Styela clava: one gene and its partner. The protein of the gene in region 1 purifies or fractionates together with the protein of each later gene. This does not show direct contact. Links are inferred from orthologs where the notes say so. Each region holds a gene or a part of one and is shown on either strand. Other genes may lie near its edges. The genes, in order: WW domain-containing oxidoreductase-like and WW domain-binding protein 2-like.

Evidence for each region.
Region 2: the proteins of WW domain-containing oxidoreductase-like (region 1) and WW domain-binding protein 2-like purify together in Homo sapiens (affinity purification with mass spectrometry; 3 studies listed by BioGRID and IntAct, with this or other methods). This does not show direct contact. The link is inferred for Styela clava from reciprocal best matches to the Homo sapiens genes WWOX and WBP2.

The regions. Positions count from the first base shown.
Region 1 is NC_135260.1:12,230,979-12,238,220, forward strand, and holds the start of WW domain-containing oxidoreductase-like, read left to right. Parts: upstream 1-4,150; 5' UTR 4,151-4,255; coding exon 4,256-4,353; intron 4,354-5,649; coding exon 5,650-5,714; intron 5,715-6,041; coding exon 6,042-6,099; intron 6,100-6,598; coding exon 6,599-6,780; intron 6,781-7,242. Other genes in the region: integrin alpha-1-like, read right to left, coding at 141-297, 534-645, 786-920, 1,152-1,318, 2,268-2,449. UniProt on the Homo sapiens protein: Putative oxidoreductase. Acts as a tumor suppressor and plays a role in apoptosis. Required for normal bone development. May function synergistically with p53/TP53 to control genotoxic stress-induced cell death.
Region 2 is NC_135251.1:30,812,000-30,820,154, reverse strand, and holds the start of WW domain-binding protein 2-like, read left to right. Parts: upstream 1-5,152; 5' UTR 5,153-5,242; coding exon 5,243-5,578; intron 5,579-8,155. UniProt on the Homo sapiens protein: Acts as a transcriptional coactivator of estrogen and progesterone receptors (ESR1 and PGR) upon hormone activation. In presence of estrogen, binds to ESR1-responsive promoters. Synergizes with YAP1 to enhance PGR activity.

The DNA of each region.
Region 1 (7,242 bases):
AATTCCATAGGTGCAATAGCATACAGGTGCAATTGTCATGGGTTCGAATGTACGTGGGTTCAAATGTAATGGAACCGTTTTGTCCACCTGCCTGTGAGTCCGTCAAATCTTTCATTCTATAACCATAATCATGCAAATACCTGGTAGGGTTCAAATGATGCTACAGTTACCCATCCCTCGTGCCACATGTCTCCTTGATCATGATCTATTGACCATATCATTCTTGGCCCGGTCATATTAGTGTAAATATAGAAATTCAAACTCCCCATACTTTCTCCTCTCATATGATACCAAAACCTGTTATGGCAAAGACTTGTTATCTTATTTTCACACCAACTAAACAGATGTAAAGTGTGTTTGGTATATATTGTGTATATATAAGGTTTTTTAAAGATTCAATTAGCTATGAATCATCTAATTTTCACATTAAGGAATACATTAAAACATGATATGCCATTGCGTATTAGATGAATTTCTTTAATATGTATTAATGCTAATGTCAAATTTAATCATCATTTCATTGCTTTTCATACCTCACACAAGCACCATTGGAGGATTTCAATACAGGCGTCGACATTACTGCTGTTTCTCCTCCAGTTCTCGGATTGGAGCATTCCAATAGCATGTAAGATCCCGTGTCTGGCTCTATGAACAACGTTACCAATAATGTAATAAGTAAATAATTTTACAAGAGCTGTAAGCGTTAAAATATATTTATGAAATGGAATACCGAAATAAATTTACGTTGTATTTGAAAACAAATAAATAAATATTTAAAACACTACTTTGTATTGTATGATCATGTGATGGCCCCGTCTGATCAGAGCTCGTTGCTCCAAGTTTAATTTCCCAATCGAAATCATCATCGGCCATCTGCGAAAGAGATGTCGTCTCGAAATCGTATTTCAGAATAGGTCTGTCTAAATAAAAATCATTTCGCTGTAAGACACTAAAAGTAGGAATACTTCGCACATAGTGCATGCCCACGTGGGCACAATTATTCTAGTTTCCTTTAATTGAAGAATTGCACGTTGCACATTAGTATTAAAAACACTGCGCAAAGATGAAAAAGGCAAAAGAGACGCGAGTGATTTCATCCGAGAATTAAATAAATTGATACAATTTGGGTATTTTTGCAGGTTTGCGCATACCGTTCTCTAAGTTGTTGTCCTTGTGAAAAAGTGAACAATGCCCTGGCAACTTCATTTCTCCTGCAACTCCTTCCCGTAAAGTACATGAATAAAGGACGCCCGCTGTTGTACTAACGAGATTCGAAGTTGACCCAAGACTGTCATCTCTAGGAACACTGACAAGCAATCTGAAAAAATTAAAATTACTATACAATATCGTTGAATGATAGGATTCCTCGATAAATTGGGATTTACTTTTGAAATTAAAATATACGCAGAGAATTTCGTTATGGAATTTGTTTGGTTCCCCCATGGCATGCGAACCAAGATGGCAAAACGTAGTGTGTGTACCAGGTTAGGGTTAGGCCAGGGGTGGGCAACTTCTCTAGTCGGCGGGCCGGATGTGGGAAAATGAAGTCCTCGGGGGGGCCAGATTATAACATGGATAGTATTCAATATCTTAATCACATATTTATTGGCTATTGCAAGAAAGAAAGTTATAAATCATGTTTAAAGTAAAGTTTAAACTTTAGACCAAAAAACACATAATGAATTTATCATAATGTACTGAAATTGTAATAATGTAATATCATAATGTACTGATGTACAGTCAGCGGGCCGGACCCGGCCCGCGGGCGGTATGTTGCCCACCCCTAGGTAAGGCCATAATTTTATTCCAATTTTCCTTATTTTAGTTCTATTACAAGTTCGGGAACTAGCCAAGTGACGCCCGTAGTATTTGTACCACATATTACGTTCCGGTGTCCGCCATCTTGGTTCGTATACTACAAGGCTACCATTTGTTCTATCAATTTACCATGTCGCGTTGCATTATAAAAACAGTGATTTATTGGATTTGCCCTCAAATGTTGCAGTTGTTGTAGTAAGTTATTATTACATGCAGTTCGGTTACAGTTATTTTTTCAAACACTTTGACGGAAAAAACAAAGGGGGAAAAGATGAGTTGATGAGCTCTGAAGTATTGTGAAAAAAAAAAAATGTGAAACTATGTCATTTTGTCAGACGGGAAGTACGTGCAATTCCAACGTCATTTCCGGATAACGCACATTTTACACTAGACATACATATTTTAATTTGAACAAACTAATTCAGAAATATACAATATTTATATCCCACCTTGTTTTACCATCGCTGTTTTTGTGCAAAGCCACGTCATAACCAAACTGGGAATCAGGCTTGAAGTTTGATAACATTACGCCCGTTGATAAATCTTGTAAATTGAAACTAGCGACAAATTTGAAGAATTCCATAAATATTACATATTTCATTCCAGATGATAATACACAATCTTTTCTCATTGTGTTATCTAACTCTGCCATTTATTTAAATATATATATATTTGTTTAGACCTAAACCTATGAACGCTGATTAATTTATTGCCAATGTAAAGCCTAACACAATAGTAACTGTTCGACTTGAGGTAGCGGATTATTACAGCACGATCATTCACATCGGTACATTTACTATAGGGAAGCATTCCGCATATTCAGGTAGAATGTTTCAAATGTTACCGGCAAGAACCCAATCGGGAACTACTACGCGGTGTCAAAGAACAGTGATACTCGCTTGACCGCATGATCTACGTTAGCTTCTTTAAAAAATGAATCAATGAATAAATAAATAGAACAAAACAAAAGCATGTCTACCGTCATGTGCCACACCAATAATGCGATCGGTTCTAGATGATTTTTCCTCCAAATGAACAACAACTCATCTATTAACATAGAACCCTTTTCACTACGTTAGAAAAAACAGTGTCAATTTTCAATTATTTTCATTTATTTTACACCAGTTCCTACCACTCTTCCCCAGCGAATGAAATCGAAAATGAATTTTTTTTTGTTTCCACATCAGAAATAACGGTTCACAGATATCAACGAACGAAATTTTCAGTTGCATTCACCTGATCCTATTTATTATTAAGCAACCACGCATGTGATCAGCCTTTTATAAGAAACGTATTTGAAATATTTCCCAAAATAGTTGTAGCCCGGAAGACGTCTTGGTTGAAAACTTCCTCGAATGAGGAGGTTTTACGTCATAATAATTGTAACCATGTTTCGGTAGTTCATACATTTGTACAGATTCATTTATTTTTTTATACTTTCACATCACAGCCTGTGAAAAACTCTAACAAATGACGCCAAATAGCGAAATCGGAATGCAAGAGGGTATAGATTAGGATGTGAAAGATAATTTTGATGATTAATAAGCCTATTTAAAACTATAAATTTAACACATTTCAATATTCCAAAAATTCGGCAAAGAGTTTCACAAATATGATTGGCTGGTCTATAAGTGGCAAATAACAATCTTTTTTAAAACCCAGGATATAAAACCTATTTTTGCTACGTTTGCATATATTGTATTGGAATGTATTCAACTGCAAATAAGTAGCCTAATATTAAATATAAGTTCAACTGCACTTCTCGAATGACTTTAAAAAAAAAGCTCAATTCGATCTGTGGCGTCAGCTGTTCACTTTTTACTTTTGAATTTTCTATATACTTAACGCCCGCACTGCAAAGAAATAACAGCACCACCGTACAAAGCTTTTATTTCATTTTATATTATTTAATTTTAAATAGACGATTGTAAATTTAATTTGTTTGGTATTTACCAACGACTAACATACCGGTATTTACTGAATGCACCAATATTATGGTTGTTTGCTATTCCTTCCAACTGTCAACCGGACAAAGGGACGTGGTTCTCTACATTTGGTGTTTTTCGAATCTCTTCGGGATACCTAAGAAACTCCCCATTATTAGTTGTTTGATATATAGACCAAAATTCCATTGTTCCGAATAGAGTAAAACAAGTTAAATCTAAATTGCAGTACTTTTTGTTTTGGGATGAAATGGTATACTCGATAGCTAAACATCTACATACTTTTTAACTGTACGTAAAATCGTAAAAAATCATAAAATGTATACATTGAGGTTTGTTGTGTGGTCAAAGGTCGTTTATCGAACACCGAAAGGGCGGACTTTCCCCGGTATGTGGTGCTTCCCCCGTTTTGATGCTTAGGCCGATTTTTTGCAACTTTCAGACTTTAGCTTTTATTTAATTTTAATAGTCAAAGACTCTTAAACTACGAAAGGATGCCTGTTGATGATTTATATGACACAGACAGTGACGATGAATTGCCACATGGATGGGAGGAAAGGGCGACCGAAGATGGATGGGTTTATTATGCAAGGTAGGGTACGGTACCGAGATGCCTGAGCCTGTGCAGCTGGCCTATCTGGCTACAGAGCTATGACTGTATGACTGTACGGCAGTACGGTAGGTGACTTTGCGACACTACCGGTACCTGGTACCGTACTGTGGTACGGTGTATACTGCAGTAGTTAACTGGTGCAAATTTAGTAAAAACCCATGATTGGTACAAATGATGAAAACAAGTGAAAACTAATTAAACCACTGGATCATGTCTGTAAATACATGTTGTGACTCGTGACGCAGACGCACACATCCTAAATTTTAATGAAAGTTCCGATAAATTCATGCAAGCTGAAATCATATAGCTTGCCAAAGCATAGCTACGATCGTCTAAAATAGCATCTGTGCCGACGATATCGAACTCGCTAACGCCAGCGATCTCACTCATATCGGGATTGTTACGACGAGAAAACGTGAGAAATAGCTTGCTCGACTTCGGTTAATTGTCTGTGCGTTTTGGATGATCATCGTATATTTTGGCTGGCTTCATTATGTCACTGTAACGTCGTAGTGACACAATTTTTGGATGACATAGTCAGGTGGGGGTTAGGAATGACATGAGAAAAAATTGTTGCACCATGCCCACTAGAAGTTACTGTGGTACGAAAGTACACGAGACCCCGAAGAGACGCACATGGACAACAGTGTGAAAAAACTAGAGAATAATTCTGGCGAATACCTTTGGTATCAAAGAAAAACAAATTTTATTTTCTCATTTGCGACACCATAATTTTTTCAAATTCGAGTCAAAGTCAAGGGTAATTTTTCCCGATTCGAGATCCCTGCTTCACCATCCAAATCTGGTTACCCACAACTGACAATTGTTATCTTACATTGACTAATAAAAGGCTGCTGTTTGTCTTATCATTAAGCAGAGGAGTTATCAGCTTTCTGCTATTGTGTTAATTTACATTTAATGTATTTCAACAATGTTTATTTAATGAAGACTGCTGTGAAGATTTTTTTTTCATGTTTGTTATATATATTCATTCATCTCTTGTTTGATGGTTCATTTTGATCCAATTTCAATCATGGCCTCAATCATGAAAAGAGTTTCTTATTAAAATATTAAAAATATCCAATAAACTGTCAGAGATATTGCTAATACACAAACAATCATGAATTTAATATTATCGAATTGCACCAGACCAAACTGCCTCTTTTAAATAGTTTAATGTGTATGTTATTCTTGGGGATTCAAATAATATTTGCTTGATTGCATATGATATTAATTATCGTTTGTAATTATTGCTACGATTTGTTTACTTTTCAGCCATTTGTTAAAGAAAACTCAGTGGGAAAATCCAAAAAGTGGAAAAAGAAAAAGAGTAGCTTCAGGTTTTTATATTAGGCTCTTATATGATATATATCTGGAACTCATTTGATACACATATATCTCTGGCATAACATTCATTTACCTCAAACCAATTTTTAGACATATCAAAAGTTCATGGTTCACGTTTATCATGACAACTTAGACTGAAGTTTACTTGGGAATGTTAAAATCTTTATCTGCTATTTTTAATGCTATTTGATTTATATGTGATGTCTAGTTTGCAACATCAAACAGAAAACATTGTATGAGCATCTTGAAAAATATTTACATAATCTATCATATTTCTATCTATACAATTTTTTTTTTCAGAATTTGTTTTATTTTTCCAGAATTGCCTTATGGTTGGCAGAGGAAGGTTGATGAACAAAATAGAATTTTCTATGTTGAGTAAGTACTTTGTTGCACATGTGAACACATGTAACATGTCTTTCACATATGCAAGTGTGTATGATTCTGAAATATCTTATTTGTACTATGAATGGCAATTTGGTAATCTAAAATAAAATTAAAAGATTTCTGACATTACTAAGTTTTAAATTTAGTTTAGATGGAAGGCTGAATATCTGCCTCGCACTTTAAAATTTTTTTTGACTTTGTGGTAAGAAGACTAATTTTTTACACTGAAAACAATGGTTTATGATTGATTAGTCCTGTATTGTTTCTTTCACACCGCTCTGTTTTTATTGTAAATACCAAAAAATAAAACATACTTTTGAAGAAACTGTTGAAATTTTTAACTTTGCTTTTGACAATCACAACAGTCAAATTGACTGTCCCCCTCAGTTTTAGCCACATTGATATGCATATATATATATAATCTAAAAATCTTTTCAGTAGTGTATCAAACTTTTCTGTACACATGTTGAATATATATAATTACTTTTAGTCATCTGAATCATCGTACAACATATACTGATCCTCGTCTTGCGTTTGCATATGATGTTGAAGATAAAGATAGATATAGTTTTAGACAAAGGTTTGATTCCAGTAGTACTACAGATCAAGTATTAGAAGGAAGAGATCTCTCAGGGAAGGTTGCAATCATAACTGGTGCAAATTCTGGAATCGGTAAGTATGCCTTCAATTAGGGAGGGGGATCAAACCTGAATTCATGAATTTGAAAATTAGTTATATTCGATACAGTTAGTTCTTGATTTTAGGAATAATACAGATTGCTTGCATTTGAAAATTTGTCACTTTGTATATTTGAAATCTGATGGCCAGACAAAAGATAAATCAAGTTTTACTCCCTACAATGTAAAAAAGAGAAAGGATATCTACGAAAACAATGTTTATTTCAAAGTTTCTCCATAGCCAAATTTAATTTATGAAGGTTTGTTTAAATTAATTACTCCGTTGAGCACACTCACAATGTGACTAAATCAAGGTTTAGGTAAAACTTGCATGAATATCTAACTGCAAGCACTTGAAGTGGAAGATGTTCAGTAATTGCAGATCCTGCTAAGCGTCAGGAATACGCTCGCCACCACACCTTTGATTACCCTGCGTGGGTTTGCAGGCTGAATTCTG
Region 2 (8,155 bases), on another chromosome or scaffold:
CAGAAAGCTTCCAACTAAAGGGGGTACGACATCATCTCTGCTCAGTCACCACCTTCGGGAAATTGAATGCTTGAAAGAAAATACTAAACCAAAAACGCATCTTAACGTACGAAGCTGCTTTGAAAAAATGTGCCGAATAATCAAAATCAAGCGACCTCTGTAGCATAACAGAAGCAATAACGCTTTGTCTTACATATATTTACGGTCTAACTAAAGACGTTATGCCAAGCTACAGTGTTTAGAAAGAGGGATTTCGCGAGCTGTTGGAAATATCAGACAAACGGTACCGTTTACCAAGCTGGAACTATTTTATAGGAACAGCCATACCAGCTTTGTATGAGAAGGCCAGAATAAATGTAGAACGTTAAGTCACGGAAGCTGCTCACGTTTGTCCAATTAGCCTGTCAGTGCATTACATTAACGAAAATTAGGAGATAGATTCATACCGTTTGAAACGCACTTCATACCGGACCACACTGGATCAAATATTGCAGACACGCTGGAGTGTATGCTTCAATCTTAGGAGTTACAGACAGAAAAATAACATCATCGCGGTAACAATAGACAACGGGACGAATGTGAAATCGGCATGCAGCCTTATTGGATTGACCCGCATTTCTTGCTTTGGCAACAATTCAAACCTCGCAATGACAAACTCGCTGAAAGATTTTCACGTCACTCGAACAATTTCTGTATCGAAAGGACTGGTGGGTGGTGGCATGGTTTTCTCACAGTTTCAAAAAAGCGGGATCTTGAAATTGCCAAGAAGCGGTTCAATCTTCCGAGCCGCATGGTCGTAGTAAACTGTCGGACCAGGTGGAGGTTGCTATTTGACAAGATCGAAAGAATTTTGAAACAACTGGAAGCGATCTATTTGAAGAATGTAAAAATCTAAACGATGACTCATTGAATGGCGATAGCTTGAAAACGACAGGTGTATGGGAAACAGGAGTATTCGAAATTCAATGCATTTACTTAAAGTCTTAAAAATAGATATTTTAGATAAATTATATGCCTTTCTGACAAACAGACACAAATTGCTCGTACAATGTAGAACCAAACTTCTATAGGGGGTGCGTTAGAACGGGTCAACTATACATACATAATCAAAATAAATCAACTCTGTTCTGCACTGTTTTCCATGGAATGATCACGAGTTTATATCAGTAATCTTCATTAAATAACCCAACATGACGCACCCTAACCTGGTGCACATACTGTGTTCAGGTTGTGCGCCATCTTGGTGCATATATTTCTGGAGCTCCAAAATTTCTTTGATTTTGCTTATGGGTGTGCTCATATTGCGTCTGTTAGGTTATTCAAAGATGTTGAAGATTACTGATATAAACTCATGATCATTCCCTACTACTGTATACTGTTTCCCATCAAATTGTTTAAAATTTCACGAACGCTAATAAATAATGAAAGAAAAATGTTTCCCTCTCCTCTGCGCTGTTTCCGTCTCTTCTGCGCTCTATTTAGTAAGGAGTAAGACCGCTTAATTTGAGGAAGTTTTGGAGAGTTGGCGCTTACAAACTGGTTTATATGTTCAAATCCATCATTTTTATTAAAAATTATCAACTACGTTCCGATTTCAGATACTCATAGCTAATTTTAGACTAGTCTATCGCAGCGACTGCAGGGCTAATTTTTGACTTTTGTAACTAAACTGAAGATTCTCAAAAGTCATAATGACAATTAAAATTATTTGATTTATAACTATTTTTGGGAAACACAACTGAAAATTGATAAATAACACATAGAGCCATGAAAACGAGGCAATGTTTACAACCATGCTTGGATATCTAACTGCCCGAGCGAAACAAGTGCTGGGCGTCGATATTAATTGTTACGTAATTGTTTACTTATTGATCATTGTTACGGAAATAAATAAGGAATCCGTAATTTGGCGAAACACCCATTGCTAACAAAGGGCCCATGTGGAAAGGTTCAATTTTATGCCAGCTGTAGTATCTCATACCGGTTTCTTCAATTCGGAGCATACATCTTTCGCGCAATCTTGGATTGCACCATTTCCTGAATCTTTGTCGTGTGTTTTTATGTGGATTACCATGTATGTTTGATTTTTACTTTCCGATAATCTAAATAACATCTATTCATCTTCTTTAAAAATTATTTCTCACGCCAATGACGTGGTTTAATCTCATTGCTCACACCGCTCAATATAAAAGATAATATATATGACATGGTGTGGAGAGAGGGTCTGTTATATAAACTATTCAAAATTGAAGTGCGTGGCAGTATTCATCAATGGATTAGATTATTTCTCACAACACGCTCATTTCAAGTCCGAGTATATTCGTCGATGTCGGCTACAAAACGATATTCCCTAAGACAGTGTTCTCAGCCCAATTCTGTTTTCCGTTATGATCAATGACTTGCCACAAAATGTCCCTTCATTGGTGAAACTTTTTGCTGATGATGGAGCTTTCTGGGAGACCGGATTGCATATCCCGGAAATAGTACCAAAAGTTCGATCTCACTTAAATGCCATAATAACTTGGTGTGATAGGGCGGGGGGGGGGGGGGTTGAACTTTCCACCACAAAACCCTGTATCGTGCTTTTCACCAAGCGCAAGGAAATCCCTACAATCCATCTTAGAATCAAGGACTCAGTAATACCTGTCACATTCGATTTTAAATATTTGGGCGTTGTGTTTGACTCAAATGGACGTTTTTGTTTTTTTGCCGTCCAGTAAACAAAGTCACGTGACCCGTGCAAGTCCTCTATATCCAGATTATCTGGAGAAATATACTGATGGATATCGCAAAATAGGCCTTAAAAAGTATTAATATTCTGATTGGTCTTTCTGCATTGGAAAGCATACAGAATATTTGGAATGTTAAGCATTTTTTATCGACAAAAATACAACTACTTCATGCTATTATTTGTCACACGACGGATATCAAGTTTCTGTGGATACCAGCACATATTGGTATTAGCGGTAATGAGGCAGTGGATCGGCTGGCGAAAGACGGAGCAAATGGAATTGTCATCAATGCAGTTCTCCACCTGTCATTGGAAGAAGCTAAGACATTATGCAAGCAAGCATGTCTAGCAAAATAGTATTTAACATATCAAGCTAACGATACTACAAGCCATTATAAAAACTTTCGAACTCATATAGCCCAAAAGACTGTCTATTTCAATTTTTCCCGCCAAAAAGAAATAGTATTTTTTCGTCTTCAAACTGGACATCTCAGACTCAACTATCATTTATTTAAAATACGGCTACATTCCACAGGGCACTGTAGTTAATGTGACACGAATGAAACTGTTTCCCATTTTATTTTATATTGTCCCAAGTGTAGTAACCTACGATTGCGAATTAAGACATGAAGCAGCAAAAATGAATGTGCCCCGGAAAATTATTTGTATTTTCAATGTTCCTGATTTGGTTCCATTTATCATTAGTTTTGCAATATCCACCAAACGAGAGTTGTGAACCTATTTTATTGTATCATACTGACTACTTTTTTTGATATTTGGCGCAAAAGACCCAGTTGTCAAAGACGCCAAAAAACCTTTTACCCTTACTACCCTAATATATTCCCATTGCGCCACTGCACTGACGACCGAAAGTGAAGTCACGTGCAGAGGTCGTATGACACAAAGTGACTATGTGACTTGGTAGGTATGACAAAGAAAATGTTTTCATAGTGGCAGATACTGTCTAGCACTAGCAGCCCATTGCTGTTGTGTGTAAAGATCGACAGCAGGGATCGGTGTATATCACAAGTGATAAATGAAAATATTATTATCACGACCCCGAGATGGTTGTAGAAATTTCACCTGATTGCAGGTATTGATTACCGCACAGCTAGGTATATCTCTGTTGGTGCTGTGGTAGAAAGCCTCGGCGCAGTCGGCGTTACCTCATATACCTGTATACAGATAACGTTATATCTCAAGCCATGACTGCATGAATTCAGGGTTGCTATGTGGCTTTTTAACACCAAATTCGCCATTTTTGGCTTTTTTCAAACACGATTGGCGTCAGAATTTACGTTTGGCTTTTTTCTTGACTTTTTTCAGTCTCCTTCAATGTGTATTATTAAAAATCATATGAAATACATTATACAATATTTAGTGTGTAACAATAGCCTATTGCTTAGCTATTTAACATTTGGAAGAGCATCGATTTTCTTGTTTATGACCATAACCAACAAAAAATAGTTGCAGTTTCTGCAGCCGCTCAAACAGATGTTCAAGCGGGGTTGTAAACATTGCCATGCTTTTAGTTATTTGTCAGTGTTCAGTTCTGTTCCCAAATATAGTTGTATGACTTAATTGTCATTCCTGCATTATGCCTTCCCAGGAGCTTTAGTTTAGTTGCAGTAATCAGAATTTAGTGTCACGAACGATTGTGATTAAATACGCTAAAATTAGCCATCAGTAGTCCGCCTGCAGACCTGTAAGCGGGCACATGGTTAGATAATTTTTTAAATAAAAATGATGGTTTTCAAAATGTTCAGTGAGAATGTTTTAAGGTATATCACAAACTGAAGCGTCACCCTGTGTATATATATTGAATTGTTGAGTGATGCTGTCCGCTTGATATTTCCTTCTATTTTTTTTATTTTCCCAACTCTTTCATATAGATATCAGTTTGACTGTATAATGTCAAATGTAGGTTCTGGTGCTGCCATTCAATTAACCCCTTTTCAACCCTCCATCTCGCTGAAGCGGAAATCGCCATGATAGCTAGCAACTGAAAATACAACTTTCAATGACTGAATGAGAAAAGACATTTGTGTGGCTCACTAAATGCTCTACATCAGGTGCTTTTGTAATTAGTAAAATTGTTGGCTTTTGCTGGCTTTTTTTTCGTCTCAATTTGGCCCTTTTTGATCACTAGGACAGTAGGATCTGGCAACCCTTTGCATGATGCTGTAATAGGATGGTTATGTACGGTACCTACTGACCTACAGCGAAAACTATACAATGTTGGGCGTTATTTAAGAAGTTCCCGGAACAAACACACCAACCTCGAACAGTGTCAGACATCGAAACATTGCAATTTGAAAGGCAGTTAAATGAGCATTTATAATTGAAGCCGCATGAGAATTTTTTTACAATTTTATGCACATGATACTACTCAACTGTGTTAATGCAAATAACAAAAACTAAAAGGATTTTACCTCTCTAGATTTACTCTAAACCCTGAAACTATAAGTTGGTAATATTTCATCACCTGGACCTTGCAAAACTTGTGCAGTCATGTCTATCAATAGATCGGCAGGACTCCAATTATTTCAAGGCGAGCTGACTGTGCAACAACACAAAGATGTTGAACTGAAATTCAAGAAGGTCAAATATTCATCTGAGCACTTGAAGGGATCGAAAGTCGGCCAGCTTTATCTTACGAATTTCAGAGCATTTTTTGTGAACAGCAAAACAAATGACATGCTACAAAATTTTAGCATGCCATTCAAACTCATAAAGGATTTTGAGATCAAGCAACCTGTGTTTGGCGCGAACCACTTGGAAGGAAAAATAATGGCTGAAGAAGGAGGTGGATGGCAAGGTTCCGCAGAATTTGAAATGACATTCAAGGTAATATTGATTTATTTTATTCAAGTACAAATAATGAAATTAAAAGTTAGCTGATTTTACCTTGAATTTTTAAACTCATTTCCTGGTTGATGCCATCACATAATATTTGGGCTCCCTAATTGAGCCTTGGAATGTATATTACTGTATTAGATGCATTGAAACATAACTATAATCTATAATATACATATCCTGTATAATGACCAAAAACACATTTTTTTTCCTTCTATCGTATCTCACCAACTAACATTGTATTTGTAACATGTATTCCTTTCCGGAAAAGTAAGTGTTAGTGATCAAATGAAATAAGCAGAACCTTATGATGGTTAAAAAATGAACCTGACTTGAAGGAAAGAATACTGACTCTTAAATTTGAGAATGGTCAATCAAGTGAACCTCGAAGAGAGAAATCAGCTGTGTGTGTCATGTGTAACAGCCATGCAATACATATAAGGTTATCATACAGCCCCAATTTGAAGTCCCAATGCTGTATATTGGAGCTCCGCTCTATAGGAGACCCTTATTCTCAATCGTTCTGTCTGTCTGTTTAGATGTAGCCTCTAAACGACTAGATCAATTTGGGTGAAATTTCTTATGTGAGTTAACCTGTCGAGTGTCATCCTAGTATTATGCGTATGAAATAAGCAGAACCTTATGATGGTTAAAAAAATGAACCTGACTTGAAGGAAAAAAATACTGACTCTTAAATTTGAGAATGGTCAATCAAGTGGACCTCGAAGAGAGAAATCAGCTGTGCGTGTCATGTGTAACAGCCATGCAATACATATAAGGTTATCATACAGCCCCAAGTTGAAGTCCCAATGCTGTATATTGGAGCTCCGCTCTATAGGAGACCCTTATTCTCGATCGTTCTGTCTGTCTGCTTAGATGTAGCCTCTAAACGGCTAGATCAATTTGGGTGAAATTTCTTATGTGAGTTAACCTGTCGAGTGTCATCCTAGTATTATGCGTTTCCTTGAAAGACTGGATTGTTGTTTCGCTTCCACGGCAGCAACCACAAAACATCCGATTGTGAGAAAATTTCTAATTTTTTGACATTCTGTTGCAATTTTCTTGTAAATTAAGTCGAAAATTAGAATTCTGAGATTGCTACCTCTCGCGAGAGAAAATGCTTTCTCTAACAAGCCGCCATTCATCTCGATACTCTATAAACTGGTGAAGCCTTTGGAATTAAATTGATTGATTGATGGAATTTTAGTGAACATGTTTCAATAATTAGCAACATTTTATTCCTCATGCAACGCTAAAAAGCAGACGCACAGCGTTCAAAATGAACAGGAAATATCGCCATCGGTAACAGGCAATATCGGTGATTGTTATTGCATGCGTAAATGGTCTCGGAAATAAAAGAGATTTGTATTCGAACGAAGTTACTGGTGACCACTAGAGTGCTACAGGGACTAAAACGAATTGGATCATCGCGATAGCATAATACAGACGCGGGGCTGAGTATCAGCGGAGATCCCGGGCGCCTACCGACTTGTTTTTTCATGTGACTCGTTCACGAAACCTTAGAGAAATTCTCAAGTACATAAATGTACTAGGGGAACTTGGATATTGTGTATTGAACTGCAGGTCCTTTCTCCTTGATTACTTTCTACTTCGGATCCGTATGTGGCACAGTAAAAATAACATGATCTCTTTCAACGAAATAGTAAGTATATTTGTGAGCTTTCGTTAGATCATGGTCTAACTTCTTCAAACAATACAAGATATAACTGTAAATATAAAAGATCATATAAATTTAGCCTATTATTGAGTTTCCTATAACTGGATATGGATGCTATCGTATCATCTTAGAATAGCAGGTCTAACTGATGTGGTTGGGTTGGGGTTCATCTATTTGGGTAGTTTCCTTTGTTTGTTTTTCATCGTTATTTGTTTGTATTGTTGTTGTTGTTTTGATGGTACTGTTTGTTTTTTGGTTTCATATTTGCGTTAAGGCCACTTCTTCGTTTGAGTTTTAATCTTTTCTATTGATTCCTTGTGGTTGCCGAGTCTTCATTTTGTCAATCCAAAAATGCTCTTTGTTTTTCCTGTAAAGTTTGTCGTGGGTTAGTGAGTCAATTCCTAGAATACTGAAATCGTCTATATTGTGCCCTTGCCTGTTAAAATGGTTGGCAACTGGTGTTGGGGTCTTTTTCCGAATGTCCCTAAGGTGGTCTGCCGTACGAGACTTTAATTTTCTTCCCGTTTCTCCAATGTACTGTGCCTGGCATTTTTTACAGGTGATTAGATATATTACATTTCTCGTGTTGCAGCTGATTTGTTTAAAGATTTGGAACTGTTTGCCGGTCGATGTGCTTCTGAATATTGAGATTTCAAATGAATGTTGGCAGGTCGTGCACCCTTTTCTGTTGCATTTTTCAAATCCTTTTTGGTCGGCTTTTTTGTGTTCCACTTTTAATTTTGCTCGCACAAAATAAATCCCTTAGTGTTGGACATTTTCGGTAGCCTATAATGGGGGGGTTTGGGAATATTTTCTGCAGTCGCGCGTCGCGGTGTAGGATGTATGGGTACTTTTGAAATATTATTCTGATTGCTTGGAGGAGTGGGTGG